2 linked regions of the Lepisosteus oculatus genome follow. The protein of the gene in region 2 purifies or fractionates together with the protein of the main gene of each other region. This does not show direct contact. Links are inferred from orthologs where the notes say so. Each region holds a gene or a part of one and is shown on either strand. Other genes may lie near its edges.

The links.
Region 1: the proteins of slc39a7 (region 2) and membrane protein FAM174 purify together in Homo sapiens (co-immunoprecipitation; 3 studies listed by BioGRID and IntAct, with this or other methods). This does not show direct contact. The link is inferred for Lepisosteus oculatus from reciprocal best matches to the Homo sapiens genes SLC39A7 and FAM174A.

What each region holds. Positions count from the first base shown.
Region 1 is NC_090698.1:55,258,584-55,274,339, reverse strand, and holds the start of membrane protein FAM174, read right to left. Parts: upstream 5,609-15,756; 5' UTR 5,281-5,608; coding exon 4,916-5,280; intron 1,609-4,915; coding exon 1,477-1,608; intron 1,014-1,476; coding exon 1,001-1,013; 3' UTR 1-1,000.
Region 2 is NC_090709.1:39,102,392-39,117,456, forward strand, and holds the start of slc39a7 (zinc transporter Slc39a7), read right to left. Parts: upstream 6,489-15,065; 5' UTR 6,311-6,488; intron 5,312-6,310; 5' UTR 5,303-5,311; coding exon 4,880-5,302; intron 4,763-4,879; coding exon 4,594-4,762; intron 3,747-4,593; coding exon 3,663-3,746; intron 3,560-3,662; coding exon 3,419-3,559; intron 2,788-3,418; coding exon 2,650-2,787; intron 1,754-2,649; coding exon 1,557-1,753; intron 479-1,556; coding exon 224-478; 3' UTR 1-223. Other genes in the region: E3 ubiquitin-protein ligase RNF5, read right to left, coding at 8,560-8,681, 9,338-9,449, 9,980-10,034, 10,305-10,417, 10,704-10,722, 11,172-11,347. UniProt on the Homo sapiens protein: Transports Zn(2+) from the endoplasmic reticulum (ER)/Golgi apparatus to the cytosol, playing an essential role in the regulation of cytosolic zinc levels.

The sequences.
Region 1 (15,756 bases), on a different chromosome or scaffold from region 2:
TGTATGCATATTTAGGGCCTCATTTTCATAACAGCGCAAAGCAAAATGCATTCATTTAAATCATTTTAGTTAGGGTTCCTACAAAGCCAGAGCCTATCCAACCAGGGACACCAGACAAACAGGGAACATCACTCTCCCCTGGAAGGGAGGCTCAGTAGCTTATATTTCGATGAATCAATATGTATACTGTATATGAATCAATCATATATCAAAAATCAAAAATCAAATTAAGATATATGAATCAAATTTTGATTGACATTATTAGAGGTTTGATACTCCCCTTGGTGCCATTTGGTTTTATAATAATTCTTACATTTTTAAATAATGTCCCTGTAGAAATTAAAGCAGTTTAACAAAAAATGATCAAAATAATATCATGTGTGTATTGTATGAAAGATCACTTCAGTGTGTAGTCTGGCCAGGGACAGATACAGCTATAGAACTGGCCAGTATACTATACTGTATATTCCTACCTATCACATACACTTGGCTACTGCCATTGGACTGGGTCAGTCCCTTTTAGTACTTACAGGATTTAGGGTAGGAAAATCATACTCTTGCTACTTGCTAGGACATACCTACAGCCAGACTTCCCTTTCTGTAAACATCAACTAAATAAACAGAAATCAATTTCCACAGACACACACTGTCACAGTCTTAGAAGCGCATTGTGAGAGTTTTTATGAAAACAAACAAAAAAAACCCACTTATAGGCACTGCATTCAATGTGTGACTGACAAGAGCCTCTTTCATAACTGGAAGATGAAGTATTTACACCAGAGGTGTCCAGTTCTTGTCTTGGGGGGGCCAAAGTGTCTGCAGATTTTCAAGGTCACTCGAAAGTTGCAGGATCTGAATAGCTTGGAGATGCTGTTAAATGAGTTCAGTTAAGCCAGAAACCATCTGGTTTAGCTCATTAAAAGCTGATTTGAAATAAAAATCATGGAAACGCCAGCCCTCCAGGAGCAGGTTTGGACAGCCCTGATTTACATACCAAGTATCATTTTACAGCTCTAGAACAAAAGAAAGCACAGTTGTTTCTCTTAATGTACAGTGCTTAGCAAGTGTGCTCTGAAATATAACCATAGGGGCATATCATATTTAGTAAAATCATAATGAGTCACAGTAGACTCTTTACTCAAAGCATTATTCTAACTTGGTAGGAATCATAGCCAATACTCCAGACTTCGCTCTTCTTAATATGTTATAAATCAGCCATTACTTATAAAAAGGTACACAATTATACTGAGTTAGCAGCATCACAAAAATCAGTCTTGAGTTACAAGAAGCACTAAACAGCTTAACAAAAAAAACTTCCATGAATACAGGATGCTTTATTAAAAGTTATATTTCTTTTTTTAGAAATACATTTTTCAAAATTATGAGACTATATCATACAAAGGCTGTTAGAAAGGTATTTCAATGACCTTACAAGGTGTAATCAGTAAGACACAGACCGATCCTAATCATGCTTACCTCCTTGAAATACGAGCATCAAACAATGTGGTATCATCGTCTTCATCCTCGTCCTGCTCCAATGGTGTCATTTCCATGGCAAGATTTGTGTCCAAGACTCCATACCTCCTTGTTTTACGGTTCTTTTTCATTCTGAATTAAGAAGAAAAGATCTTCAGTACAAAATACACGCAAACTTCAAACACATGGTGGTTTTGATGTTAACTATGATAACCTCATGGCTTCATTTTTACAATATGTTCACAGTGCTCCACACTTACATGCCACATCCTAGCAGTGGAACACGCTTACAGAACGTATTGCTTGACAGAATTCCAAAATGTGCTACTAATCCTTTAAAAAAAAGTCTTCTGACTGCAAGGCAAGAGAGCAAAATTATCTTAACCTGCCACAGTAGCAGTATTTGAAGAGCACATACTGTATAAGACCTCAGCCGAGAAATCTACTTTAGCATGTTCATAAAAGTAACCAGTAGCAAATTTCAATATGAATTTCAAGTACAATACGGAGGTATCAAAACCCTGTTAAAGTGTACATCTGTAGAAATTATAGTACTAACATTTTTCATTCTTCTAACACTAATACATTTTTCTGACAAAATAAAAAAGGCTTAGGGATAAAACAAAAAGAAAAGAATAACAGAAAAAATAAAGCCTCAAGTTCTAGTCATTAATATCAAAATAGGTTTAATTTTTCCTTTGGGCAAACTGTGGGCAAAGTGCCCACTCCAGAGTACATTAATCAGTTGGGACAGTTTTCACGTAATGAAAATTAAATTTAAAGACTTTCCTATTTGCTTCCTAAGTAGAGGTGTCTGTGTTTTGGGAGTTCATTTTTTATTGTGCAAACTGATGTCCTACAATCAATTGAATGAATTGTAATATTGTGCCATGAATTGGTTTGTGTAAAACCAATGGAGAATTACAATTTCTTACCATTTTACCATTGAAATGGATTTTAAATAACCTAAAAAGATTTTACCAATCCGATATTTTTTTAGATGCAAAAATACATGAAGCAGAAAAAAATGAAAACTTAATCAGTGTATGTGAAATAATAAGTGAACCCTAGTTTACTGAGCACAAGTAAATAGCATTGGTATGAATAAATAAAAGAAGCGAGTTTGGGCACTCCTGTCTTAAAATGTCTAAAAATAATCAGAAACTTTGAGAGTGTGGTTTACACCATACAGGATAAAGGAAACGCATCACGACACAATCAAAAATAAATTTCAGAGGACTTCAGGAAAAGAGCGGTTAATGCTCATCAATCTGGAGAGAATTCATTAAAACATTTCTAAACTTCTGGGGCTCCATTAATCCATTCGGGAAATGGAAAATATCTGAAACCACAGTGACTCTATCCCAGGACCTGGCAGGTTGTCCTGCCAACAACAATCCTGTAAATCATCGAGGAATTCACAAAGAACCCCAGAGAAACATCTAAGGATCTGTAAGTGTCTGTCTGCCTAAACCATCAGAAATAAAACTGGAAGGATATGGATGTCATGGGGAAAAAAGCATTGCTCTCTACAATAACATGTCAGCCATGTCAAGTTTGCTGAAGTGCACCTGGTTGATCCACAATACTGCTATAAGAATGTTGTCTGGACCGTCATATCAAAAATTGAATTTTTTTACTACAATTAGAAATGTTTTGTGTTGTGAAAACCAAATGCTTCCTTGCAACACAATTGATGTCCCTCATCTTTGATGAAACCATTAATTCAGCACTGTATTGGCAAATTCTGGGGGAGAATGCCCGGCCATCCATTCATCACCTGAAGCTGATCTGAAAAGAGGTCATACAACAAGACAACAATCCTAAACATACAAGCAGGTCTCCAACAGAATGGCTAAAGAAGAAATTTTGCATTCGAATTGGCCATTTAAACGTTGTACCATGACCTGAAGCGAGCTGTTCACGCAAGGAAACCCTGAAATATCAGGGACTTGAAGCAGTAAGAGACTGATAAACATTTACAGAAAATGTCTAACTGAAGTCATCGCTGCTCAGGAGGTGCTGCCAGAAACTGAATCTAATTTATTGACATGAATCTAATCTTAATTAACCTAATGTATTCCCACAATGGGTTATTTTAATTAAATAATACAAATATATCTTTGCATTCCATGTTTAACGAAGTTTGCTTTATAATTTATTGAGACTTCCAAGAGGACATGAGGATTTAATTACTTTGCAGTTGTAAAATATACAAAAATATGGACCAACCTAGAGAGTTCATAAAGCTTTTCTTGGCACTGTATATCATTTTCACTTTTTGGAAAGTCATCTTAGAACTTCTTTTGTCTTCCCTATTTAGTGAATTAAAAAGCAGTAAAAATGTATTAAAAGTGACCATGTGGAAAAATAAATATGTGATTTCAACTTGATTTAAATGGCATTGTAGTTTAGTCTACCACTTTGAAACCACACTTGACTTAATCATACATAATGTTACAGACAATAGAAGATGCACCTAATTTTGCATACAGTACAGTATGTACAGTATATACAAGATATCTTTTATTTGTACTTGTACTGTAGCATTACTTTAACTGGATACTAAAAGATGGCCAGAACTTATAATGTGAAATTCCTTAGCACATAGGGGTAGTCAATACATTTCAAAATGTATGGGAGATGTATTGTTACATGTTGATTAATACAGCATTATAAAGGGTATTGAATGTATTTGCATTTCTGTGTTTCACAAGTCTGTCTTGCAGTTGAACGCTGTTTTATGAATACTGTTACTGTGGTTAGGACACAGTCCTAAATACAACAGAGGAATAATACATAGCTTAAAGCAGATAAATATAAATAAAAATGCTTATTTTTGTGGGCAAGCAGATCAATTTCAATTTATTTCAGATAAATGAATCAACACTGATTAGTCTTTTTCTCGCCTGAAACCTTTCCATTAATTCAATCCAGATCAAGGCAATAGTTTCTAAGAGGACAGGAGTCACACAACACAGGTTACAGATATTTTTTCCTCTTTAGGCAGTTCTTTAAAGTTCAAACTGCAGTTTTGTTTGTAAGTTTAGTATAATAAGGTATAAATCGGCACCAGCCTCATTACTGAAAAATATATGTTTCAGATCGTTCGGTTTTAAATTTTACTCTCAAAGCCCCTAATTTAATGAAGAAGAAGAAAAAAACCGTGTCCACAAAATGCCCGTAACTGGTTCAACCAACCCATGTTCAGATGAGTGTTCTGAACCAGTACCAAACAAAAATAATTAAATCCAAAATGTTACGATGTTGCAAAAGACAACAGCGATATAAAACTGCGAAGGATTTGTGAAAACAAAACAAAAGCAAAAACCTCATCGCAACTCTGTCGCCGCTTTTAAAGAGGATGTCGCATTACAAAAGCATCTAAGAAAACAGAAAAGTAGCTTAGGCAATCGGAAAACTATGATGCAGTCCTTACTTGACAGTCCTGATGACGAAATAAACGATGACAAGAGCGCTGACAGCCACAAGCACATACAGTGCCCTCTGAATGGACATCGGTCTGCTGTCATTCGCGGCCAGCTCCGCTGCCACAGTCCGGCTGGTGCTCTGGAAGTCGCCCGTACTGTTGTTTTTGCCTTCCCTGACTCCAACGGAGCCTGTGTGCGTATTCATTTTGGTATTACCGCTGCTGGCATTGCCGGTGTTTTGGCTGATGCCCACCTGGATCTTTGTAGACGGAGCTTTGTACGGGCCAACTGTGGCAACAGGAGGCAAAAGTACAGGCAGTAAGATGCATACAAACAAACTAGCCCTAAAGACCCGTGTCTTTTCAGGACCCATGTCCTAAAATAATTTTCTTTTTTTTTTTCTGTCAGCACTGACGTATTGTTATAACACACAGAGCAGAATCAACTCCCTCTTATTTCCCTCATATTGTTTATGCGTTGACTTCCTACCGTCGCTACGCAGTGTGACATCATCTTCCCTGCGTGCCTGCGGGAGCTGCTATTGATGGGCTTCAGAAACTGAGGAGAAGACACCCGGATGTACCTGTAAAACGTGTTTGGTCACAGAAGCATTGCAATGAGTCTTTTTAAATTAAGCAGCAACGTCTGTTTAGTAATGCAATTAGGTAGAGCTCTCACAAAGTCACAAGACCCAAGCATACTGTACAAACGAAAGAAAAATATCCTGCAAATGTTTTTTTTTTGGTCTTTGACCTAAAATGATTAGTCTTTGACAATGACAATTGAAGTACTGTAAACATTCTTTATTATTAAAATATCTTTAAATAGATATTCTAAAAGTACTGCACATAATTTAGTCTACAATGCTTCAACAACAAGAAATGTTAAAGATGTGAGATGTGTACTGCATGTGGCATCTGTATGTGCCACCTTATTTTCCAGTAGTAGGCAGTTAGCGTGATTAATAGTAAAACAGCCAAAGAAAGAACACAAAATCAAGTTTAAAAAACAGAATGCAATACGTGAATATATGTGTAAAGTTAAGAAAAGTTTTATCTGCCTACCCGTCATCAGAATCTCCTGGTGAAGGTCAGGAAAAACAGGAGCCTGCTATTATCTAAATGTGTAATTTTCCCAATCAATCAAGGAATTAAACAACGAATAACAATAATCTAGAGGCAGATGGAAATATGCCAGAATATAAAAAACAACATCACAGTGCCTCATGAAATGAGTTTCTAATGTATTACATTGACCCAGAGCAATTTAGCGAAATAATGCTTCTCTTTCTAATTAAATGATACTGAAAAAAAATCAATACAACTGTTGAGGCTAAGACTTCTTGTCCATCTGTTTAACTATGTTTTTCTTTCTTCTTTCTCATTGTTTGCTTCACTGATTCTGGTTGTCTCACATAGTTCTGCCTGGAAAGGTCTGCTAAAGGTCCCCACGTCTGGTGCCTTTTTGAAGGCAGTTAAAATGGATACCTGAAAAAAATTGTTTATAGGATAAGCATTTGTAGTTATACACAAAGATTCACTTCTTTACTTTTTTTAGGAAGCAAAAAAAAAACAATGCATCTTTTGTATTAAATAAAGTCTTGTGCTCTCATCTGTATACTATCAAAACCTCACTTGTCCACTATCTAAAGTTTAAAACCTAGGATCCAACATATAAAACAGAGCATCTTGTCTGTCTGTTCCTTTATGCTGTGGTGGGAAACCTATGTGGCCTGTTGCTTAATTTCATCCAGGCCGCAGGAGCCGGGTTGGTCAAATATTGTATAGCCTCCTCTGACATCCAGGGGAAAGTCAAGAGCTATGTACAGTATGACCACAAAATTGTCCTGCCACACATTTTGCACAACGGCATTTTGAATTTTGTGAAAGGAAAAGAACTGTCATTTATGGTTGTATTTGATGCCACCACGATACAGAGAAAAGTCAAAAGACTAAATATTCAGGTTCAGGTACAACTATGTTGTGTATGTGTGTATGTACTGTATGAGGTGCAACTGTAATTGAGCGGACAACAATAAGGCTGCTTTCTGTCCCTGTATTTCCATATTGCATAAGCATATTTTTATTTTGCCACGGGGTGAAATTAGTACTCTTTATCATACTAAGGGATTTCTATCCATCCGTTTTCTAAGCCGCGTTATCTAGTACAGGGTCACGTCACGATGGAAGCCAGAGCCACGCAATGAGTGCGAGGCGGGATAGACCCTGAATGAGATACAAATCCATCATAGGGTACAAACGCAGGAAACAAACACGCACATACTGTACTCACATCAGGGTTAATTTTCCCAGAAGCCAGTTAACCTACCAGTATCTCTTTGGACTGTGGGAAGAAACTGGAGCACCTGGAGGAAACACATGAACAATAGAAGAACAAACAAACTCCACACAGACAGCACCAGTGATACCACTAGGGGCACTGTATTGAATGGGAGGTACTTTGGGTAGAGTGTCATAGATTTCACTGAGACTTTTGACCACATTGAGATGCCAGAACAGACATGTTGTGACAAAGAATGCCACAAGGGTATCAGAAGGGGAACAAGCTATTTATACAGGTGTGCACACATTACAGGACTATGATGATGACAGGGATGACAGCGAGAGAGTGGTTCATTATGCACCACTGTACACAATTTACATTTGATGGATTTCAGTGAGTATGCAATTTGGAAAATGACATAAAGAGAGTGTGTTGGAAGAAAGGACTTTGTATTATCTAAACTATAGTGAAGCACAGGAAACACAATAAAAAGAAGGGCAAAGGAAAATGTAAAGAGTTAAGTAAGAGACTTATCACTCCATGGGAGAAACTGAAAGAGAAAGGAGAAGCAGGAAGATAAAACAGGCTTAACAAGCTCCTGTAGTTTATTTTTCTAATTTAGGGAAGGAGACGTAAACATATACAAATAAGAGAAAGACTTGGTACTCTGAGGTTGTTTACATTTTTATATTGTCAAGAAGGCAAGTCTGGAATTGCTTCGAGGAAGAAAAATAACAAGGCATTACTTTTCTAACTTTGAGAAAAACAAATGTGTTTTTGATACAAGTAAATTATTTGTTTTCTACTATGTTAACAGGATATTTTGAGATATTTTTTAGTGTAGTCCAGCTTTCCTGATCTAGGGGTTATTTTTTTATCCTCACCAAAAGTAAGTGAATCGTTTATTTTTCAATGAATTATTTTCTTTATAAAACAAAGTACTATTTTTTAACTATATTGTCAGGGCTCTAACACTGCAAGGCAGCATTGCAAACCATCATGCCTCCCTACTAAGGGATTTGATTATGTTAATTTTGCCCTGTCCGACACATGACATCACGCTGTCCAATTAGTGTGGCCAATTACCCTAATCAGAATGCTTCTGGCATGTGGCAGGAAACCAATGCAGACATGAGGACAACAGGCAGACCTTACACAGATAGAGCCGCTTAGCCAGAAAGTGATCTCTTGTTCCCACGGCTGTGAGACAGCAGTGCTACAGAAAATGCAGTATCCCCAATCCCCCTGTTAGGCAAATATAACCCTCTGTAAAACTGAACGGATGAACCTGACATATTTACCTCATGGCAAATTTATGTGTTCAAGTTTTCAACTGGGAGGTACAGTGGCTCTGTGTATAGTACTGCTGCCTGCTGGTTTTATTATAGATCAGCATCACAGTGATATTTATAATTATGAATTAACCTGGTTAAGAAATATAGTCATACATTTAACTGTGGTGGTTGGATCTAAAACAATGATCCTGCGAACCTAACTAGTAGCAGCCAAGTCTTACTAGCCAAGTCTCGTGCATCTGAACACTATATCCCAGTTTATGTGGAAAACAGTTTTTTTCATTAAAAATTCAGGCAATAAAGTAATAACAATTGCTACAGTAGCACTATAGTAGTACAGTAGGTTTCTATGCAACCAAGGCGTCTTGCCTTTTGGAACAGCGTTAATTTGCCTAAAATATCCTAAAGATATAAACTGTCAGTACTGAGTTCTGTAGAATATTTAATTGGATTGGTTTCTGCTGGATTTTTTATTCTTGAAAATATTTGTTGGATTTTTTATTCTTGAAAATGAAGTTTACTTCATATACAGTAAACAGGATGGGGCACAAATAATATTGATATCTGATACTATTAACATTACCAATTGGATTAATATAAATTAAAAGTACATATAATATTTCTCTATTCCAATTTTAATGGAATGGTTTTATCTGTTTATACAAACTGCACATTCCAGCAAGTGAGAGACTTTAGAGGACACCATGCATTTGACATCATATCAGATATACTGTAAATATACTGTGGGATTATCACCTGTTGAAGTTACTATCAACCTAACACACATGTGGCAGTAGTACAAGGGCATCCTGCATTTAAAATGCTTTCTATGGTTATAATTCTGGTTCACCATCAAGCAAATGCCTTTAAATAAATATTGCAGATCTATTACATACTTAAATATTATGAATTTACTGAAGACATGAAGACATGGCTCACCATTTTCACAAAAGTAGAACACGTTTGTTTAGATGGAGATGAAGCCTAAAGAGATTCTATTTGCCAACAAAGAAGACGCTTTAGTTATGTTTTTTGGATACTTATGTGCGAGGCAAAATACATTTTAGTTGGCTTCCTCAAACTATTATCACATTATCACAAAGAAAGATTTTTTGTGATATAATCATTGTACAGTATGTTTTTGCCTGTGAAATTACATATTGTAACGCAACGGGAGTTCAGGCGGGCACCCTTGCCGCATTAGCAAACCCTGGACTCCCGCGTCACTCAACAGGGAACCAGCCCAGTGAGCCAAAGAGAGATCTCTCTACAGCCCAGGGGCTGTGGTCCTGCTGTTACTGGGAAGGGCGGTGACGTCACCTGCTCTGGTAAGCCGGCTCTTACACAGTACCTGTCGGCCGTAAGCGTTACAATATATTTACAAATTACAATTCCATATTTAGAAAATTCTACATGTGTTTTATAATATTCTTAACTTGTCACATCTGTACAACCCATGAGAATGAAACTGATAAGGACTCTGCAGTACTTAGACTTTAATGAGATGCATGAATATACCGTTACATGTTGTCATTCACAAAAGTGTACTAAGGGAGGATAGGCTTTAAACATGATATACCTGTTGCTTTGTGAGAGTGGGGTGCTAGGAACACATACTGTAGATGTATTTCTTTATGTCAACCATAAGACAGACTTTAGCATACCATAGGTTAGTGAGGGATAAATCAACTGGGGCACAAATTATGTTGCTATGGTGAATGATTAGAGCCTGCATTGATCTGATCTTTTCAAATAACCAAAATAGAGTAAAAAAGGTAAAAGTAAGAGAAGCATTGGAATAAACACAACATGATCATTTTCAAAGTATGTTTCAACGTTCAACAAAGGCAATTTAAGGAAAGGTTTATGATACTAGAGAAACAGAGGGATTTGAGAATATACTGTATAGGGAATCAGAAAGGTATACACAGCTAAAGGTTTAAAATTCAGTTGTAGAGCCATCGATAAAATTAATATAATTAATCACATCACTCTACTGGGGCATTAGGGACCAACATAGACCACAGCACCCCCTGCTGGCCTCACTAACATCTCTTCCAGCAGCAACCTTAGTTTTTCCCAGGAGGTCTCCCCTCCAGGTGCTGACCAGGCTCACACCTGCTTAAGTTCAGTAGGTAGCCCATTGTGAGTTGTAGGGTGATATGACAAATCATGGCCCAGAACTGTTGGTGTAAATGGTTCAATAGATTACGAAAGAAAAATATACTGTAAAACAAGAAAAATGTTTTATAGGGACCAAGATGCAGAAAAGTGGACTACTACACAAGATTACAGATTTTGAGGCAAAACTAAGTCCAAGAGCTTTTTACATTATTACAACAGCAAAAGACTGAAAAGGAAAGAAGTGGTGTCATAGAGATACAAATGGTTTTAATATAAAAGACAAGCATAGAAAACGTAAAGGATTTCAATGATTCATTTACTCAGGTGTTCAAAAAGGAGTAAATTAATAAAGTGCTGCAGGTTGAAGAAAGGTTCAAACAAACAAATAAAACCAGATGGTTTTTATTGACCTGAAGGAATAACACACCTTATTTACAGTATAGCCCTCTTGGTAAGATAAATCAATTGACTTCTATTGCAGTTAATTGTGTGTCCTGATTAGAAAATTGTAATTATTTTATCCAGTCATAAAAAAGTAGAGAAAACAGAATCAGTGAATTATGGACAAGTCACCCTTGCTTACATCTAAAGATATGAAAAAAAATATAAGAAGCAAATTGGAAGAAGACGTCAAAAGGCTTCTCTTGGCTTTCCCACCCTGGTGGGATAATGTAACTCAACACGAGTGAATCCTGTAGAGGTTTGAGACACTTTGAAACACAGATATGGCAACTGAAAGTCTCTGCCGATAATAAAATATCCACACATGTTCTTGGCGTCTGATTGAAATGCTCCCCCAGCCCATCAGCCATAATGGATGTTATGGCATGGTGAAAAGTACATATGGTAAATACCCAAAATATGCTAAACATGTTTCAGCGAACTAAATGTAACTTGTACATGTGGTCTGTGATCATTTCTATTTGTATGTTTGCCCTTGAGATAAATAAACCAAGAGCATGCATTAGGCTTTGACACTGTGCAAAGTAAAGGCTTCTGGAAATCTGGTTACACAGTCACTGAAAACAATAATAAAGTGTTTGCCTCCGCTGCTTCACTCTACAGGTTCTGCTACTGTACTGTATATCCATAGTAACTCACTGGAACTGAATGTCTATGACAGATAGTGTTGTAATGGAGACCTGCCAGAAAGTCATATTTCAGTTGTCAATTGACAGTTTTGCAGTGATCAGTCACATCCAGGGACTGTATAACACTATCTTTGGTAAGGTTTTTGCACATCCCATATCCCTGACTGGTGCGGTACACCCTAGTCATAGTATCATCTCTTTAGCACCCACTGTACAATAAATAGTTTTCTACTTTATCTACTATACTGTTTAGGTCTTTACAGACACTGGCTTACAGCTCCTTGCTGCTCTGCCAAAAAGAACTTATAAAGAGGGATCTGTCCTTTTTAGTTCTGCAAAATTTCCTGCAGCCTGCAAATCTGGCTTGATAATAATAGTCTTTTATTTAAACAGCCAAGTCACTTGAGAACAATTTTTCATTTACAATGGGAACCAGACTGAGTCTTACAACATTGTTGCACAAAAGGCAAAGCAGAGTAGAAAGAAAAGAACAATCAATAAAAAGTAAACACCATAACAGGATCTAAGCACAGAATACCCTTAGACATGACAGAAGATATTTTATGTTTAATTCTGCAGATTGTTCCAGTCATTGGCAGGAGCAAATTGAAATGAATTAAAGTACCCAGATTTGGTAGTTGCACCTGGGAGGTTTCATGAAAGTGCTACATCCGAAATTATAGGATAATAATATATTCAAATATATAAACTGTGATTTACTTATCTTTCTTTTACTTGCAGCAAAAACTGTAATTGTTTTTACCATTTGTTTTTAAATTTTACAATATATTGTGATGCCACATGGGGAAGCTCCCACATGGGGCAAAAGTTCTACAAAGACGCACCCCACACACCAGTCCTTAAGTCAAACTGTTCTTTATTGCTAGAACAGTGTGCAATCTGGCTTGTATTTGACACAGCAACAGGAGTAGTCAATGTCCTGTCCTGGCTTAGCCAGCATCATAGGCACATGTCTTCAGTCTGATGCCTGTAGGTAGCCAAGAGACTGTAGTCTTAAGCCATGTGGATCTGTCGCTGAGCCAGCAGCCTGCATAGTCATTTCAGTCCAGAGGCTTATGAGGCAGCTGATACAAAAATAGAGCCTTCAGCTTGGTAGATCTATTTTTGTATCAACAGCTTGTACTATGATAGAGAGGCTAGAGCAGTGGCATCACAGCTGGTCTTCGTCCTGCAGGCTTGGGAATCAGCCATGTGGCTGAGATCTGCAGCTAAGTAGCTGTATTTGAAAAAATAAACAGCCTGCATTGTGTTAGGGTAGCTGATGTGGTAGCAGCACAGTTTATCTTCAGCATGGAGGCTGGGATTGTAGCTGGAATTTTCAGCCTGGAGGCTGGTCCAGTGTGGTATCAGCCTGTACAGGTGTACAGGGTATAGTTTCCCAATGTCTGAACAATATTATTCATACAGAATCAGTACAGAGAAAATTGTGGGGCTATGTTAATAAACACTGTGAGTCTGAAACCATTCAAAGAAGTTCACTTCAATACCAGGTCTAGCTTTTGGGCTTTCTTGACTTTTCCCGCCTCTCCTCCCAATCTCCAAACAGTTTTCCAAATAGTTTTGGAATCAGCAAAAAATGGATTTCAAAGTCTTAAAAAACATTTTTCTTGAAATACAAAACAAGATTCATCCCACATGGACATCAAAGTCAGGAAAGCACTGGCTCAAATGGTTAAATAAATAAATTAAGAAAAATATAAGGGAAAAAAGCAGTATACTTTATACAGTAAACGACAGCATTTAATGAAGAATGGGATCCGGTTAAATGTAAGGAGTATAATTAATTGCAACTACAGGCTAAGAGGGGCATTAGAGACCAAGAAGAAGAAAATAGAAAAAAGCTAGGACATCTACATCAAATAATAATTTTTAGTATTATAACAGTAAAGGAACAGTAAAAAAATTAAATAAAGCATCTCAGAGAAAAAATAAGAAACTTTCAGATTACGTGTATAGGTGTTTTTCAAAGAGGGAACACAGAACTTACCAGTCTAACTAAACACAAGGTCCTATATTAAATAATATTAGCATAGAAGTGGCAGACAAATTACAGATACTAGAAGCACTTGAGATAAATCTCCAGGGCCTGATGGTATTATTCCTGTTGTACTTAAGGAAACATGAGATGGTATTCATATGCCATTATCATAAGTCTTCCAACAGTCTCTCAAGACAGGAGTAATACCCACTGACTGGAAAATTGCTAATATAGCGCCTGACCTTACAAAGAGTGAACCAAGTAATTATAGACCAATAAATCTTTTCTTATATTACATGCAAGGATATGGAAACAATAACCTGTCAGAGTTCTCAAGAAACAGCTGTAATGCAAGAGAGAAATGACACGGTACATTTAGATTTCTAAAAGGCTTTTGATGAAGTTCCTCATGAAAAATTAATTCCCAAGGCTGCAGATATTCGAGGGAATGCGTGTACTGTACTTGGATTAGGAATTGGTTATTTGACAGGAAACAAAGGGTGCAGATAAGTGGTAAATCAAGGTGTACGAGGTGTATATTTAAGAGTTTACCAGACGGACACGTATTAGCACCTCTGCTTTTCCTAATTTATGTCAAAAAAGACTTTGGTATAGGGAGAAAAGCAGTCATATTTTAAGATAACACCAGACTAGGAGGATATGCAAATGCTACAGAAACTGCAAAAGATACTGAAAAATATTTAAACTAAATAGAAGACTGGGCAAGACTTAGCTGATTGCATTAAATGTAAACAAGAGTGGTGTGTTATGTACATTAGAGGCAGCAAACCATAAACTCATATATAAAATGGGAAACAGTGAGCCTGAAAGGGCTGCTTAAAAGAAAGACTTACTGTATGACTTTATTTGGACACATAATGTTTATCTACTAGACACTATGAATGATAGAATATATGGCATTAAGTGTAGAATTAAAAAATATGCTTTGTTAGAATTGCAGAAGGTAATAGTTAGACCTAATTTATAATATTGTGTATACTTTTGGTCATCAAGACACAATAAACATATCACTGCAATGATATCTGTCCAGAGAACAGCCACCTCATACTTTTATGTTTCCTGGCTCAAAGGAATGTCCTGCTCTGACAGGCTATAATAACAATGTTCTTAACCTTAAACAGAGAAGGTTATGTGATTCTACTATTAAACTTTCTGTCCAATTTTTCTAAAACACACCCTAAAACACATTGATAAAGCCCATTTACTGTGGATGACCAGAATCAACACTTAAAAGTTGATTAAGAAGATCCAAGTGGAAGCTAAATTTGAAACAGAAAACAGGAGATTCTTCTTAACACAAAAGGTTGGGGTGGTACGGCGCAAGATGTTCAGCCATGTTGTTGAAGTTGACCACCTGTTTTTTTTCAAGAAGTGGCTGGATGAGATGCTTGGATCATTGAGCTACTGGAAAAGGCCTCTTTTTGTTTGTAACTGCACCTACTGTAGGTTCTCAAAAAGCTTTTGCTGAGAAGTGTTCTTAGCAGATTGATCTTGGTGCTTAGCCTGGCTCTGTCTTAAAACTAATAAAACAAAAACAAAAATAACAGCAGTCACCCAATATTTTTTCATTTAATTGTAATTAAGCATATTTCTGCTGCTGTTTTGTTGTTTCTCCCCTATTGCAATGCAGAAGTGATGCCGATATTCCTATGTAATAACGCATATTTCATTTAAATAGTTTTTGCCTGATGATACCTGACTCTGCTGAATGGAAAGGGCATTATAGGCCTGTCTGGTTTTTACCGGCCGTGAGTCCTCTAATTCAGGCAATTCTTTCAGCCTTTTTCAATATTGTTCTCATCCTGCATGTAGGCTATGGTAGGGTCAACACAGTAGTAAGATGGTAGAAGCCCAACATTCAGAGCCGTGATCTCAGCAAACCAGTGCCACATTACCATTCCCTTAGTTGCTGATTCCTTTGTCTTTCTAGTTGTGCTTGGCACATCTGACCTGTGCTCTAGTGCATGCTATCCATCACCCTGTAAAGACAGCGTATGTCTGTTTTCCCTGATGTGAAGTCGAGCCTGTACAAACCG
Region 2 (15,065 bases):
GGTCCTGGAGGGGTCAGTGTGTGTGTCTGCAGTCATGACACTGTGACCTCTGACCCCAAACACTGGAACACTGGCACCCCCCCGGCACTGAGCCCCCCAGAAGACAGACAGACCGTGACCTCAGAAACGACAACTAAAGAAGTAACAAAAATAATCCTCCTCCTCCCCCTCCGGTCAGTCTGTGCTCAGCGCTCCCGCGGGTGGGCCGCGGTACCCCCCCCCCTCACTCGTACTCGGCGATCAGGACCATCATGCCCACCCCGAACAGCAGCGCCAGCACCTCCAGCAGGGACTGGGCCGGGCCGGCCTGGCCCAGCAGCAGCTCGGGCAGCACGGTCACCGTGGCGATGTACACGAAGCCCCCCGCGGTGAAGGGCAGGACCCAGGCGGTCGCCGTGGCGCCCGCGCCCTCGGCCAGCAGCGAGCAGGCGGTCCCCGCCAGCGCCCCCAGGGCGGTCAGCAGCTGCAGCAGCATGGCCTGGACACAGGGGGAGAGGGCACGGCGGTCAGCGGAGGGGAGACAGAGAGACAGAGTGGACAGCGGACAGTACCTTCCTCTTGGTGCAGCCCGACTGGACCAGGATGGCAAGAGAGAGACGGGGGACAGGGGACAGGGGACAGTACCTTCCTCTTGGTGCAGCCCGACTGGACCAGGATGGCGAGAGAGAGAGTGGACAGTGGACAGTGGACAGGGGGACAGCGGACAGTACCTTCCTCTTGGTGCAGCCCGACTGGACCAGGATGGCGAGAGAGAGAGTGGACAGTGGACAGGGGGACAGCGGACAGTACCTTCCTCTTGGTGCAGCCCGACTGGACCAGGATGGCGAGAGAGAGACAGGGGACAGCGGACAGGGGGACAGTGGACAGGGGGACAGTGGACAGTACCTTCCTCTTGGTGCAGCCCGACTGGACCAGGATGGCGAGAGAGAGAGTGGACAGTGGACAGGGGGACAGCGGACAGTACCTTCCTCTTGGTGCAGCCCGACTGGACCAGGATGGCGAGAGAGAGACGGTGGACAGTGGACAGGGGGACAGCGGACAGTACCTTCCTCTTGGTGCAGCCCGACTGGACCAGGATGGCGAGAGAGACAGTGGACAGCGGACAGTGGACAGTGGACAGGGGGACAGTGGACAGTACCTTCCTCTTGGTGCAGCCCGACTGGGCCAGGATGGCGAGAGAGAGAGTGGACAGGGGGACAGTGGACAGTGGACAGTGGACAGGGGGACAGTGGACAGGGGGACAGTGGACAGTACCTTCCTCTTGGTGCAGCCCGACTGGACCAGGATGGCGAGAGAGAGAGTGGACAGCGGACAGTACCTTCCTCTTGGTGCAGCCCGACTGGACGAGGATGGCGAGAGAGAGAGTGGACAGTGGACAGGGGGACAGTACCTTCCTCTTGGTGCAGCCCGACTGGACGAGGATGGCGAGAGAGAGAGTGGACAGTGGACAGGGGGACAGTACCTTCCTCTTGGTGCAGCCCGACTGGACCAGGATGGCGAGAGAGAGAGTGGACAGTGGACAGGGGGACAGTGGACAGGGGGACAGTGGACAGTACCTTCCTCTTGGTGCAGCCCGACTGGACCAGGATGGCGAAGTCTCCGATCTCGTGTGGGACCTCGTGCAGCAGGATGGTCACCGTGGTGACAACCCCCACCGCGGGGCTGATCAGGAAGGACGCCCCGATGGCCAGCCCGTCCGTGAAGTTGTGGGTGAAGTCGGCCGCCAGGTTCAGGTACCCCGAAACCTTGATATCTGTACAGGCAGAGAGACAGGCTCAGACGCCCCGAAACCTTGATATCTGTACAGGCAGAGAGACAGGCTCAGACGCCCCGAAACCTTGACATCTGTACAGGGAGAGAGACAGGCTCAGACGCCCCGAAACCTTGACATCTGTACAGGGAGAGAGACAGGCTCAGACGCCCCGAAACCTTGACGTCTGTACAGGCAGAGAGACAGGCTCAGACACCCCGAAACCTTGACGTCTGTACAGGGAGAGAGACAGGCTCAGACGCCCCGAAACCTTGACGTCTGTACAGGCAGAGAGACAGGCTCAGACGCCCCTAAACCTTGATATCTGTACAGGGAGAGAGACAGGCTCAGACACCCCGAAACCTTGACATCTGTACAGGGAGAGAGACAGGCTCAGACACCCCGAAACCTTGATATCTGTACAGGGAGAGAGACAGGCTCAGACACCCCAAAACCTTGACATCTGTACAGGGAGAGAGACAGGCTCAGACACCCCGAAACCTTGACATCTGTACAGGCAGAGAGACAGGCTCAGACACCCCGAAACCTTGACATCTGTACAGGGAGAGAGACAGGCTCAGACACCCCTAAACCTTGATATCTGTACAGGGAGAGAGACAGGCTCAGACACCCCGAAACCTTGACATCTGTACAGGGAGAGAGACAGGCTCAGACACCCCGAAACCTTGACATCTGTACAGGGAGAGAGACAGGCTCAGACACCCCGAAACCTTGACATCTGTACAGGCAGAGAGACAGGCTCAGACACCCCGAAACCTTGACATCTGTACAGGCAGAGAGACGGGCTCAGACACCCCGAAACCCCATTATCTGTACAGAGAGACAGAAGCCCATGAACACACCGCGAGACCAGCTTCCACAGACTGTCCCTCAAGTACCTGTCTGTCTCTCCACCTCCTGCTCCTTCCTCTGCTCCTGGGCCTGGCTGTCGGTCTTCCTCTGCCTCACCCCCTCCTGCTCAACCCTCCCCCCCTTCTCCTCCGGCTTCTCCGGCTTCTCCGGCTTCTCCGGGGCTCCTGGGGGGAGAGAGGGACAGTGAGAGAGAGGGACCGGGAGAGAGAGAGAGGGGGAGAGGGGACAGTGAGAGAGAGGGGACAGGAGAGAGAGGGGGACCGGGACAGGAGAGAGAGGGGGAGAGGGGACAGTGAGAGAGAGAGAGGGGGAGAGGGGACAGTGAGAGAGAGGGACCGGGAGAGGGGACAGTGAGAGAGAGGGACCGGGAGAGAGAGAGAGAGGGACCGGGAGAGAGGACAGTGAGAGAGAGGGGACAGGAGAGAGAGGGGGAGAGGGGACAGTGAGAGAGAGGGGACAGGAGAGAGAGGGGGACCGGGAGAGAGAGGGACCGGGAGAGAGAGAGGGGACCGGGAGAGAGAGAGGGGACCGGGAGAGAGAGAGGGGACCGGGAGAGAGAGAGGGGACCGGGAGAGAGAGAGGGACTGGGAGAGAGGACAGTGAGAGAGAGGGACCGGGAGAGAGAGAGGGACTGGGAGAGAGGACAGTGAGAGAGAGGGACCGGGAGAGAGAGAGAGGGACCGGGAGAGAGAGGGACCGGGAGAGAGGACAGTGAGAGAGAGGGACCGGGAGAGAGAGAGGGACCGGGAGAGAGAGAGGGACCGGGAGAGAGAGGGGACAGTGACCTGTACCTACCGTGGGTGTGAGAGTGGGAGTGGGAGTGGGCGTGGGCGTGCCCCCCCTTCAGCAGGCGCACAAACTTCTCCACCACCAGGAAGGCCACGATGCCGGCCAGCACCCACAGCCCCACCGACATCATGTGGCCGTGAGCGCCACCTGCAGGGGGAGGGAGGGGACAGCGCCGCCTGAGACACTGCTGATCCCCCAGTCTGCACCCGCTTCCAGGAAACACCCCCCCCCGCCCGCCCGTCAATCATACCCGAGTGGGAGTGTCCATGGTCACCTGACTCCTCCTGGCCCTGGGAGTGGCTGTGTCCCTCCTCACCGTGGTGCGAGTGAGGCTCTGAAAGAGAGGAGTCCAGACCCTCACACAGAGCCCTGAGACACTCCTCACGCAGAGAGAGGAGTCCAGACCCTCACACAGACCCCAGAGACACTCCTCACACAGAGAGAGGAGTCCAGACCCTCACACAGACCCCAGAGACACTCCTCACACAGAGAGAGGAGTCCAGACCCTCACACAGACCCCAGAGACACTCCTCACACAGAGAGAGGAGTCCAGACCCTCACACAGACCCCAGAGACACTCCTCACACAGAGAGAGGAGTCCAGACCCTCACACAGACCCCAGAGGCACTCCTCACACAGAGAGAGGAGTCCAGACCCTCACACAGACCCCAGAGACACTCCTCACACAGAGAGAGGAGTCCAGACCCTCACACAGACCCCAGAGACACTCCTCACACAGAGAGAGGAGTCCAGACCCTCACACAGACCCCAGAGACACTCCTCACACAGAGAGAGGAGTCCAGACCCTCACACAGACCCCAGAGACACTCCTCACACAGAGAGAGGAGTCCAGACCCTCACACAGACCCCAGAGACACTCCTCACACACAGAGAGAGGAGTCCAGACCCTCACACAGACCCCAGAGACACTCCTCACACAGAGAGAGGAGTCCAGACCCTCACACAGACCCCAGAGATACTCCTCACACAGAGAGAGGAGTCCAGACCCTCACACAGACCCCAGAGACAATCCTCACACAGAGAGAGGAGTCCAGACCCTCACACAGACCCCAGAGACACTCCTCACACAGAGAGAGGAGTCCAGACCCTCACACAGACCCCAGAGACACTCCTCACACAGAGAGAGGAGTCCAGACCCTCACACAGACCCGGAGGCTCACCCAGCGCGTGTGGGATCAGGTGCAGGAAGGCGTCCCCCAGCAGCCCCCCGGACGCGAAGCTCAGCAGGACCTTCAGCAGGCTCTGGTGCTGGTCGGTGTTGGACTGGACCGGTATCAGGAAGAGGATGAGGAAGGGAGCCGCGCTGATCAGCAGGGTGGCGCCCACAGCCTGGCCAGGTCAGAAGGGGACAGGCCGGGTCAGAACCGGACAGGGCGGGCCGGGTTGGCGCCTCTCAGCCGACCAGAGCTCGGCGGTGTCGGTCTCGCGCTCTCTCTCTCTCCGTACCTGAGTCCACAGCTCCAGCGTGCTCCTGCCGTCTCCTGCTCCTCTCTCCCGTCTCGCACTCCCGTCGGCGAGCGCGTCCCCGTGCGCGTGGGGCTCAGAGTGAGCGTGCGCGTGCGAATCCCCGTGCGAGTGGGCGTGCGAATCCCCGTGCGAGTGGGCGTGCGAATCCCCGTGCGAGTGGGCGTGCGAATCCCCGTGCGAGTGGGCGTGCGAATCCCCGTGCGAGGGCAGGTTGGCCTCGGCGCTCCACTTGCTGGCGCCGTGGTGCATCTTCCCCCCCCCGTGCGAGTGGCCGTGGCAGCCGCCGCCCCCGTGCGAGTGGGAGTGGGAGTGGGAGAGCGCGGGCTGGAGGAGGGCGCCGGCGGCGAACAGCGCCGCCCAGAGGACAGACAGGCGCACTGCGCCTCTCCCTGCCATTGTCATCCTTCACACCTGGGGGGAGAGAGAGAGAGAGAGACAGGACTGGACCTGTAATTAACGCTAACTAACCACCCCAGCCTGCTCGCACCCTGGGCCTGCGGGTCACAGAGCTCTTTGCACACAGGAGGGGACCTGCACCAGTAACCCCACCTGGGAGACGCTCAGATACCATTGTGCACCAGTAACCCCACCTGGGAGACGCACAGCGATCAGTCTGCACCAGTAACCCCACCTGGGAGACGCACAGCGATCAGTCTGCACCAGTAACCCCACCTGGGAGACACACAGATACCATTGAGCACCAGTAACCCCACCTGGGAAACGCACAGATACCTTTGTGCACCAGTAACCCCACGTGGGAGATGCACCAGTAACCCCACCTGGGAGAGGCACAGAGACCATTGTGCACCAGTAACCCCACCTGGGAGACACACTGCGATCATTGTGCACCAGTAACCCCACCTGGGAGAGACACTGCAATCATTGTGCACCAGTAACCCCACCTGGGAGACACACTGCGATCATTGTGCACCAGTAACCCCACCTGGGAGACATACAGCGATCAGTCTCCACCAGTAACCCCACCTGGGAGACGCACAGCGATCACTGTGCACCAGTAACCCCACCTGGGAGACGCACAGCGATCAGTCTGCACCAGTAACCCCACCTGGGAGACGCACAGCAATCACTGTACACCAGTAACCCCACCTGGGAGACACCCCTCGACCCCTGCACCCCTGTAAGATCACAAGCACACCAGCACCATCCCAAGTCCTACTGATAGCAACACCTCTGATGGACCTGCGCTGGCCAGCGGGTGTCCCCCGGCCCGGGGCCCTGCCGGACTCTCCACACGGATAAACCCGCTCCGAGCCGGGGAGAGGCGCCCGCGCCGCAGGAACATGAACTCCTGGGTGTCTGCATCCACGCACACGCACAGACAGACACAGAGACAAACTCTCGCATCAGCACGGGTGCGTGTGTGTGTCTGTGTGTGATAAATGAGCGCACCTCCCCGGCGAGGGTCACCCTGAGCCCGGACGTGTGTGTGTCTGCGACAGCTCGCTCACCGGTCCGGAGAAGCAGGCCGCCCCTGTGCGTGTAGCCGGGTTTCTGATGCGCGGTACTCCGGCTCGCCGTGTCTGTCTCTCTCTCTGTCTCGGCACAGACGTGGCACAGCAGCCAACACAGACTCTCGCGAGATTTCCCTCCCCCCCCCTTGACAGCCGGGCAAAGGCGGCGGAGATCTCGCGAGACGCCCCTGGCCCGGATGCCGGATGCCGGATGCCGGATGCGGGGGGCGGAGACAAAGGGGGGCGGGACACGGGGCTGTCGGCAGCGGCTGGCTGGCTGGTGGGGGAGGAGGGAGCGGTACGTCAAGGCTCCGGTTCCGGGCTGGCGCGGCGACCGCCGGCGCTTTGGTTCCGGGCGCGTTTGTGGGTCCAGGCCAGCTGAGCTGAGCTGAGCTGAGCTGGACACCGCCAACGGGCTGCCTCAGAGCGACAGCATGAGGTGAAAATCAGGGCACGGACGGAGCAGTGTAGTCGATAAGTGACGTAATTACCCCTAATCCCCCACCTGTAACTGACTGGACTGGGAGCTGGACTAGTTCTTCACTGGGATTATAATCAGACTCCACTGACACTGACAGAGCAGTCTGAGACTCTCCAGGCTGGACTGGGAGCTGGATTAGTTCTTTACTGGGATTATAATCAGACTCCACTGACACTCTGAGACTGAGACTCTCCAGGCTGGACTGGGAGCTGGATTAGTCTTTCACTGGGATTAATCTGGATTCCTTGAATAAGACTGAGACATCAGCTATGAATAGAATAACATTTATTACAAATATACAGATAATATTGACAAATCACCTCCATCATATTTAATACTTTGCTCGTGCACATGTGTGTGTGAGGAGTGTGTGTGTGTGAGGAGTGTTTGTGTCTGTGTGAGGAGTGTGTGTGTGTGTGTGTGTGTGTGTGTGTGTGAGAGAGAGTGTGTGTGTGTGTGTGTGTGTGAGAGAGAGAGGTGTGTGTGTTTGTGTGTGAGAGAGAGAGGAGTGTTTGTGTGTGTGTGAGAGGAGTGTGTGTGTGTGTGAGGAGTGTGTGTGTGTGTGAGAGAGAGGAGTGTTTGTGTGTGAGAGAGAGGAGTGTTTGTGTGTGAGAGAGAGGAGTGTTTGTGTGTGTGAGGAGTGTTTGTGTGTGTGTGAGAGGAGAGTTTGTGTGTGTGTGAGAGGAGTGTTTGTGTGTGTGAGGAGTGTTTGTGTGTGTGTGTGTATGTATGAGAGGAGTGTTTGTGTGTGAGAGGAGTGTTTGTGTGTGTGTGTGTGTGTGTGAGAGAGAGGTGTGTGTGTGTGTGTGTGTGAGAGAGAGAGGTGTGTGTGTTTGTGTGTGAGAGAGAGAGGAGTGTTTGTGTGTGTGTGAGAGGAGTGTGTGTGTGTGTGAGGAGTGTGTGTGTGTGTGAGAGAGAGGAGTGTTTGTGTGTGAGAGAGAGGAGTGTTTGTGTGTGAGAGAGAGGAGTGTTTGTGTGTGTGAGGAGTGTTTGTGTGTGTGTGAGAGGAGAGTTTGTGTGTGTGTGAGAGGAGTGTTTGTGTGTGTGAGGAGTGTTTGTGTGTGTGTGTGTATGTATGAGAGGAGTGTTTGTGTGTGAGAGGAGTGTTTGTGTGTGTGTGTGTGTGTGTGTGTGAGAGGCTCCACAGTCTGATCCTCCTGGTCGAGTGTGACCAGAGACCGAACGCTGAGATTCTGGGGGCGCGGGACGAGACCATCTGCCCCGTGCCCGCAGGAACATCGCCCCAGGGGTGTGAGGGGACGCCCCAAAAGCCCCGCGAGCAGAGGGGGGGGGGTTAGTTAAGACAGACGATGAAGTCCTTAAGATACGAGTCAATGAAGATAAGAGCCAGGCTGACCCCCGACCCCCGACCCCCGACCCCGAAGAGACCCGAAGGGTTAAAACTATTTCGATTGACAACAAACAAACAAGCACAGGAAATAAGAGAAGGCCCCCCAGCACCCCGGCCCCCCGCATCGAGGGGGAGGGGGATTCTGGGACAGGCCGGGGGGGGGGGCGGTACCGAGACCGAGTTCCGGTTCTGGAGCGGCGCGGACGCAGAGCCCACACGCACAAGCGCGTCACCGCGCGCGGCGGGCGTGTTAATACAAGAGGGGTCAGGGGTCGAGACACGCCAGGGGAGGGGGGGGCGCCCCCCCGCAGGACGACACCTCGCCCGCCCCCCCGGCCCCCCCGGCCCCCCGCCCTCAGATGCTCAGCAGCCAGAAGAAGAAGAAGATGGCGACGAAGAGGAACAGGGAGTCCTGCCAGCTGTTGCCGTTGCCGGGGTTACCGTTGTCCGGGTAACCGCCGCCTGGGTGGGGAGTATCTGGGGGCGAGGAAGAGAACCCCCAAATCAGAACAGATTCCAGCTGGAGAGTCGCTATATAACCTCATGATACTGAGAGCACAACACACACACACTCCTGTACAGACACACACACTCCTGTAGAGACACACACACACACTCCTGTACAGACACACACACTCCTGTAGAGACACACACACACACTCCTGTACAGACTCTTACTGGACACACTGTAGAGACACACACACTCCTGTAGACTCTTATTGGACACACTGTATAGACACACACACACTCCTGTAGACTCTTACTGGACACACTGTATAGACACACACACTCCTGTACAGACTCTTACTGGACACACTGTATAGACACACACACACACTCCTGTACAGACTCTTATTGGACACACTGTATAGACACACACACACACTCCTGTACAGACTCTTATTGGACACACTGTATAGACACACACACACTCCTGTAGACTCTTACTGGACACACTGTATAGACACACACACTCCTGTACAGACTCTTACTGGACACACTGTATAGACACACACACACACTCCTGTACAGACTCTTATTGGACACACTGTATAGACACACACACACTCCTGTAGACTCTTACTGGACACACTGTATAGACACACACACACTCCTGTAGAGACACACTGTACCTGCGCGGTGAAACGGGTCATTGGTGTTGAAGACTGTAGTGAAGAAACCAAAGGGAAACGCACCAATACCGAAGGACATGTGGAACCCAGTGTCACCGAAACCCTGGAAGGGCTGAGAGAGAGAGAGGGGTTCATACACTCCAGTACATGAACACTGCACTGAGAGAGAGAGGGGTTCATACAGACACACTGACTGGACACTCCAGTACATGAACACTGCACTGAGAGAGAGAGAGGGGTTCATACAGACACACTGACTGGACACTCCAGTACATGAACACTGCACTGAGAGAGAGAGGGGTTCATACAGACACACTGACTGGACACTCCAGTACATGAACACTGCACTGAGAGAGAGAGGGGTTCATACAGACACACTGACTGGACACTCCAGTACATGAACACTGCACTGAGAGAGAGAGGGGTTCATACACACACACTGACTGGACACTCCAGTACATGAACACTGCACTGAGAGAGAGAGGGGTTCATACACACACCCTGACTGGACACTCCAGTACATGAACACTGCACTGAGAGAGAGAGGGGTTCATACAGACACACTGACTGGACACTCCAGTACATGAACACTGCACTGAGAGAGAGAGGGGTTCATACAGACACCCTGACTCAGTGACTCACCCCTCTGCTCTCCGGCTCTGGTCTCTGTCCCTGAGGTCGAGGAGGAGTTTTCAATCTATAAAAACACCAAGAAAGAGTTAATTCATGAAGCTGAGCAAAGATACCAACAACTGGAAAACAGGAAACCTCCTGAGTCTTTCAGAAGACCGGGTTTCGCAGTGCTCTGTGGTCCGACTGTTACCACTAGACAACGGGTCAGATGTAAAACCTGGAAAGGAAGGGACTGCTGTGCAGCTGGAGTCTATGAGCACTAAAAACCTGCCCCACTTCACTCAGACAGACACTGGCGCACAGTGGACACACAACGGACAGGACAGGACAGTACCGTGGGTCATCCTGACTTGAGCTCCCTCTTCCATACAGAGGAATAACGTTCTCCCGGCTGATCCCGGCCTTACACACTGGACACTGCTGTCTGCTGGGGCGGGTCTCCAACCACTGAGAGAGAGAGGGGTTAATACACTCCAGGACATGAACACTGACCTGAGAGAGAGAGAGACTGACTGGACACTCCAGGACATGAACACTGACCTGAGAGAGAGGGGTTCACACACACACACTGACTGGACACTCCAGGACATGAACACTGCACTGAGAGAGAGAGGGGTTCATACAGACACACTGACTGGACACTCCAGTACATGAACACTGTACTGGGAGAGAGACAAACTGACTGAAAGTTACATTAAACATACACCAAGGAAGAAATTAAAAAAACACTTACTTGGTGTAGACATGGCCAGCTGTTTCATGAAAGAAAGCAAAGAGATTTGCATTTAATTTCAGAAAGGTTACAAACAAGAAGTCACTATGCACATTAGACCCGTTTGGTGGGTCAGTAGCTAATTGATCAGAGGAATTCATCCAGCTGTTCCACTCCCCCACCCCCCTCTGTGTACAGAAGAGCCTCCTGTCCTGACTGGAGGAGCTCACCCAGCTGTGTCTGGAGAGAAGCCAGGGTATCGGCTTCAACCACAGGGCTGGGCAGCCTGTTCCCCACCCCCACCCCCCTCTGTGTACAGAAGAGCCTCCTGTCCTGACTGGAGGAGCTCACCCAGCTGTGTCTGGAGAGAAGCCAGGGTATCGGCTTCAACCACAGGGCTTGGCAGCCTGTTCCCCACCCCCACCCCCCTCTGTGTACACACACACACAGACAGTGTCGCTGCCTCTGAGCCCCGACCCCAGCTCGCACCAGAACAGATGTCCGCACAGGCTGATCACCGCGTCCCTGGCCGTGTCCAGGCAGATGTTACACTCGAAGGTGGCCCGGTCGCGCTCCGTGTCCCGGCCCAGCCCGCCTCCCGTCCCGCCCCGGTCGCCGTCCTCGGCCGGACCGCTGTCCGCCGTGCGCCTGGGCTCCGCCGCCATGTTTGTTTACCTGCCTGGCTCGCTCGCTCGCTCGCTCGCCTCCGGTCTCTTCCGGTTTCCGCCGGTGACACGCCGGGCCCGTAATTCACCGAGTAGAGGCGCCTCCCGGCTTGGCGTCGAGCATGAATGGGTCGCGATTCTTTCAGAAATGCGTTTATCCTGCGCTCTGTTTTTATCATATTCAGGTTCCCCACACTTGTGCTGTGCTTTAACCCTGCTCTCACTGGGCTGTACTGCGCTGTACTGTGTTTTTACCCTGCTCTCACTGGGCTGTACTGCGCTGTACTGTTTTTACCCTGCTCTCACTGGACTGTACTGCACTGTACTGTGTTTTTACCCCGTTCTTACTGTGCTTTACTGCACTGTACTGTGTTTTTACCCTGAGCTCACTGGGCTGTACTGCGCTGTACTGTGTTTTTACCCTGATCTCACTGGGCTGTACTGCGCTGTACTGTGTTTTTACCCTGCTCTCACTGGGCTGTACTGCACTGTACTGTGTTTTTACCCTGCTCTCACTGGACTGTACTGCACTGTACTGTGTTTTTACCCCGTTCTAACTGTGCTTTACTGCACTGTACTGTGTTTTTACCCTGATCTCACTGGGCTGTATTGCACTGTACTGTGTTTTTACCGTGATCTCACTGGGCTGTACTGCACTATACTGTGTTTTTACCCTGTTCTTACTGTGCTTTACTGCACTGTACTGTGTTTTTACCCTGTTCTTACTGGGCTTTACTGCGCTGTACTGTGCTTTTAACCCTGATCTCGCTGGGCTTTACTGCACTGTACTGTGTTTTTACCCTGATCCTACTGGGCTGTACTGCGCTGTACTGTGTTTTTTTGCCGTGAGAGAAGGAGAAACGTTGTCAGGTTTGTCAGAAACAAAAGACCCCAGTTCATCAAAGTGTATCAAACTCCTACACGTGATTGGAGCTATCTGTCTATTTAAATTAAATCCATATTCATGAATAATGTGTCTGTATCATGAATTTAATTAAACAGACGTTCATCCCGACATTTGTGTGCAACTTTTCTTCTATACAGGACGAGACGACACTGCTCTAGCGTGTATGAAGTGACTCGGTTTTCCAGCGTCTTTGGAAAGAAGTGTTAAGTAGACGGAGCTAAGACGATCTTTCTTTGCGCTGAAATGTGGAAACGAGGTTTTAACAGTGTACGGTAGCCCACCAGCGAGCATCCTTCCCTCCGACATCGGATCTGGATGTTCATTGGACAATCCTGCCGCCACTCAAACCTGAGCCCCTTTCGCTGGGACATGATTGGACGAGCTGCCGGAGAACCGCCTCTCTTTCTAAAGGCGATTGGGTAGACGTCACGCCACTCAATTCGGCCTCGCCGCCTCAAACGGGGGGCAGGTGGGCGGGGCGCCGGGGTGGGGGAGGGGCGGTATCGCCCGACCTGCCCCGGCGATTGGACGCCGCGGATGTCCGTCACTCTGCAGCTCTGCCGCTGGACAGCTGGGTAAGTAATGGCGAGAACGGAGGCCGCGAGCACGGTCGCTTCGCCCCGACAGGCCCAGGTGACAAAACTACATTTCCCAGCAGGCTTTTGGCCTCTCCCCCCTCTCGGGTCCGTCGCTTTGGCCAGGTGCTGGAGCCTATCCCAGCGGGCAACGGGCGCAAGGCAGGACAACACCCTGGACGGGACACAAGTCCGTCACTGAACACACACACACACACACCAGGGTCATTTCTTCAGAGAAGCGACCGGACCGCGGGAGCAATCCCACGCGAGCGCGGGGAGAACATGCAGGCTCCACACAGACAGCGCCCCCGGGGGTTGGACCCGGGACCAGCGCGCCGGTGTGCGCCGCCGAGGTCCCGCTCCACCCGTCCAGAATCCCCCGGGCCTGGGCCGGGCTGGGCTGGGCCGGACTCGCTCTGGTCGGACCCTGTTTCCAGCTCCGCGCCCGATTATACGTGCCTATTTCCTCGCTCGATACGTCGGTGTCCATCGCTGTCCGGCACACGCGTGTCCTGCGAGTCAGATTCACCCCCCCCCCCGACCAGGCGTCCGTGCGACCCCCCCGGGAGACGCGCATTCAAAGAGTCCACACGTACACGTCTCCGCTCTGTTCCCGTCCCGCTGACTCCCGCTGACTCAGCGGGACGGGAACAGAGCGGAGACGTGTACGTGTGGACTCCCGCTCGGCAACAGCTGAAGAAACAGAAATGTTCTCTTGTGGCGCCCTTCCTGCACGAGGTCCCTTTTTGTGGGAGGAATTTGAAGCGGCCGGGATGTAGGGCGGATTCCCACTGGATGAGCGAGGAAGACACTCGCAGACACGCTGGCCTGGAGACGACCCCTACACGTGTGTGTGAGACTGTGTGTGTGTGAGAGAATGTGTGAGAGAGAGTGAGAGTGTGAAAGAGAGTGTGTGTTTGTGTGAGAGTGTGAGATTGTGTGTGGGTGTGAGAGTGTGTGTGAGAGAATGAGAGTGTGTAAGTGTGTTTGTGTGAGAGTGTGAGGTTGTGTGTGGGTGTGCGAGTGTGTAAGTGTGTTTGTGTGAGAGTGTGAGGTTGTGTGTGGGTGTGAGAGTGTGTGTGGGAGTGTGTAAGTGTGTTTGTGTGAGAGTGTGAGGTTGTGTGTGGGTGTGAGTGTGTGTGTGAGAGTGTGTGTGAAAGTGTGAGGTTGTGTGTGGGTGTGAGAGTGTGTGTGAGAGTGTGAGATTGTGTGTGGGTGTGAGAGTGTGTGTGAGAGTGTGAGAGTGTGTAAGTGTGTTTGTGTGAGAGTGTGAGGTTGTGTGTGGGTGTGAGAGTGTGTGTGAGAGTGTTTGTGTGAGAGTGTGAGGTTGTGTGTGGGTGTGAGTGTGTGTGTGAGAGTGTGTGTGAAAGTGTGAGGTTGTGTGTGGGTGTGAGAGTGTGTGTGAGAGAATGAGAGTGTGTAAGTGTGTTTGTGTGAGAGTGTGAGGTTGTGTGTGGGTGTGAGAGTGTGTGTGAGAGAATGAGAGTGTGTAAGTGTGTTTGTGTGAGAGTGTGTGAGTGTGTGTGTCTATATACTGTATCTATGAACAGCGGCGGTTGTTTTCAGTAACAGGGTGTCTGACCACCGGGCTGATTCTGAACAAGCTGCTCAGTGCGACCCGATAGCCTTGTAACAACAACAACAACAACAACAACAATAATAATAATAATAATAATAACAACGACGACGACGATGACGATGATGATGATGATGATGATGATGTTTATTAATTGTATGGGGGTTATTATACATTTGATATTTTCTCTCCCTCCCTCCTTCTCTCTCTCTCTCCACCAATTCCGTTGGGTTTGTTTTTCCGAAATGTGACAAAAAGGCCGGTTGTGCGCATTTCGGACCCGGCCGGTCTCAGTCACAACCGGCACCTTCCGGCCCGGTCCGGCCATGTCCGGTCCGGTCCCGTCCCCCCCGGCGCCTCGCAGCCTCCGCAGCTGCATAGCAACAGTAACCAAGGACCCGGTGTCTCGGTGAAGCGAGAGAGAGAGAGGGAGAGAGAGAGAATTGAATTGAGAGAGAGGAGAGAGAGAGAGAGAATTGTATTGAGAAAGAGAGAGAGGAAGAGAGAGAGAGAGAGAGAGAGAGGAAGAGAGAGAGAGAGAGATGGCCTCTTTCATCGCCGCCCCGCGGCTCTCCTGTCGTGCGATCTGCCCCCCGTCTCCCTGCGTGCTCGTGTCGCTCCTGGGGGGCCTGAGTGTCCTGTAATCGCCATGCTGCC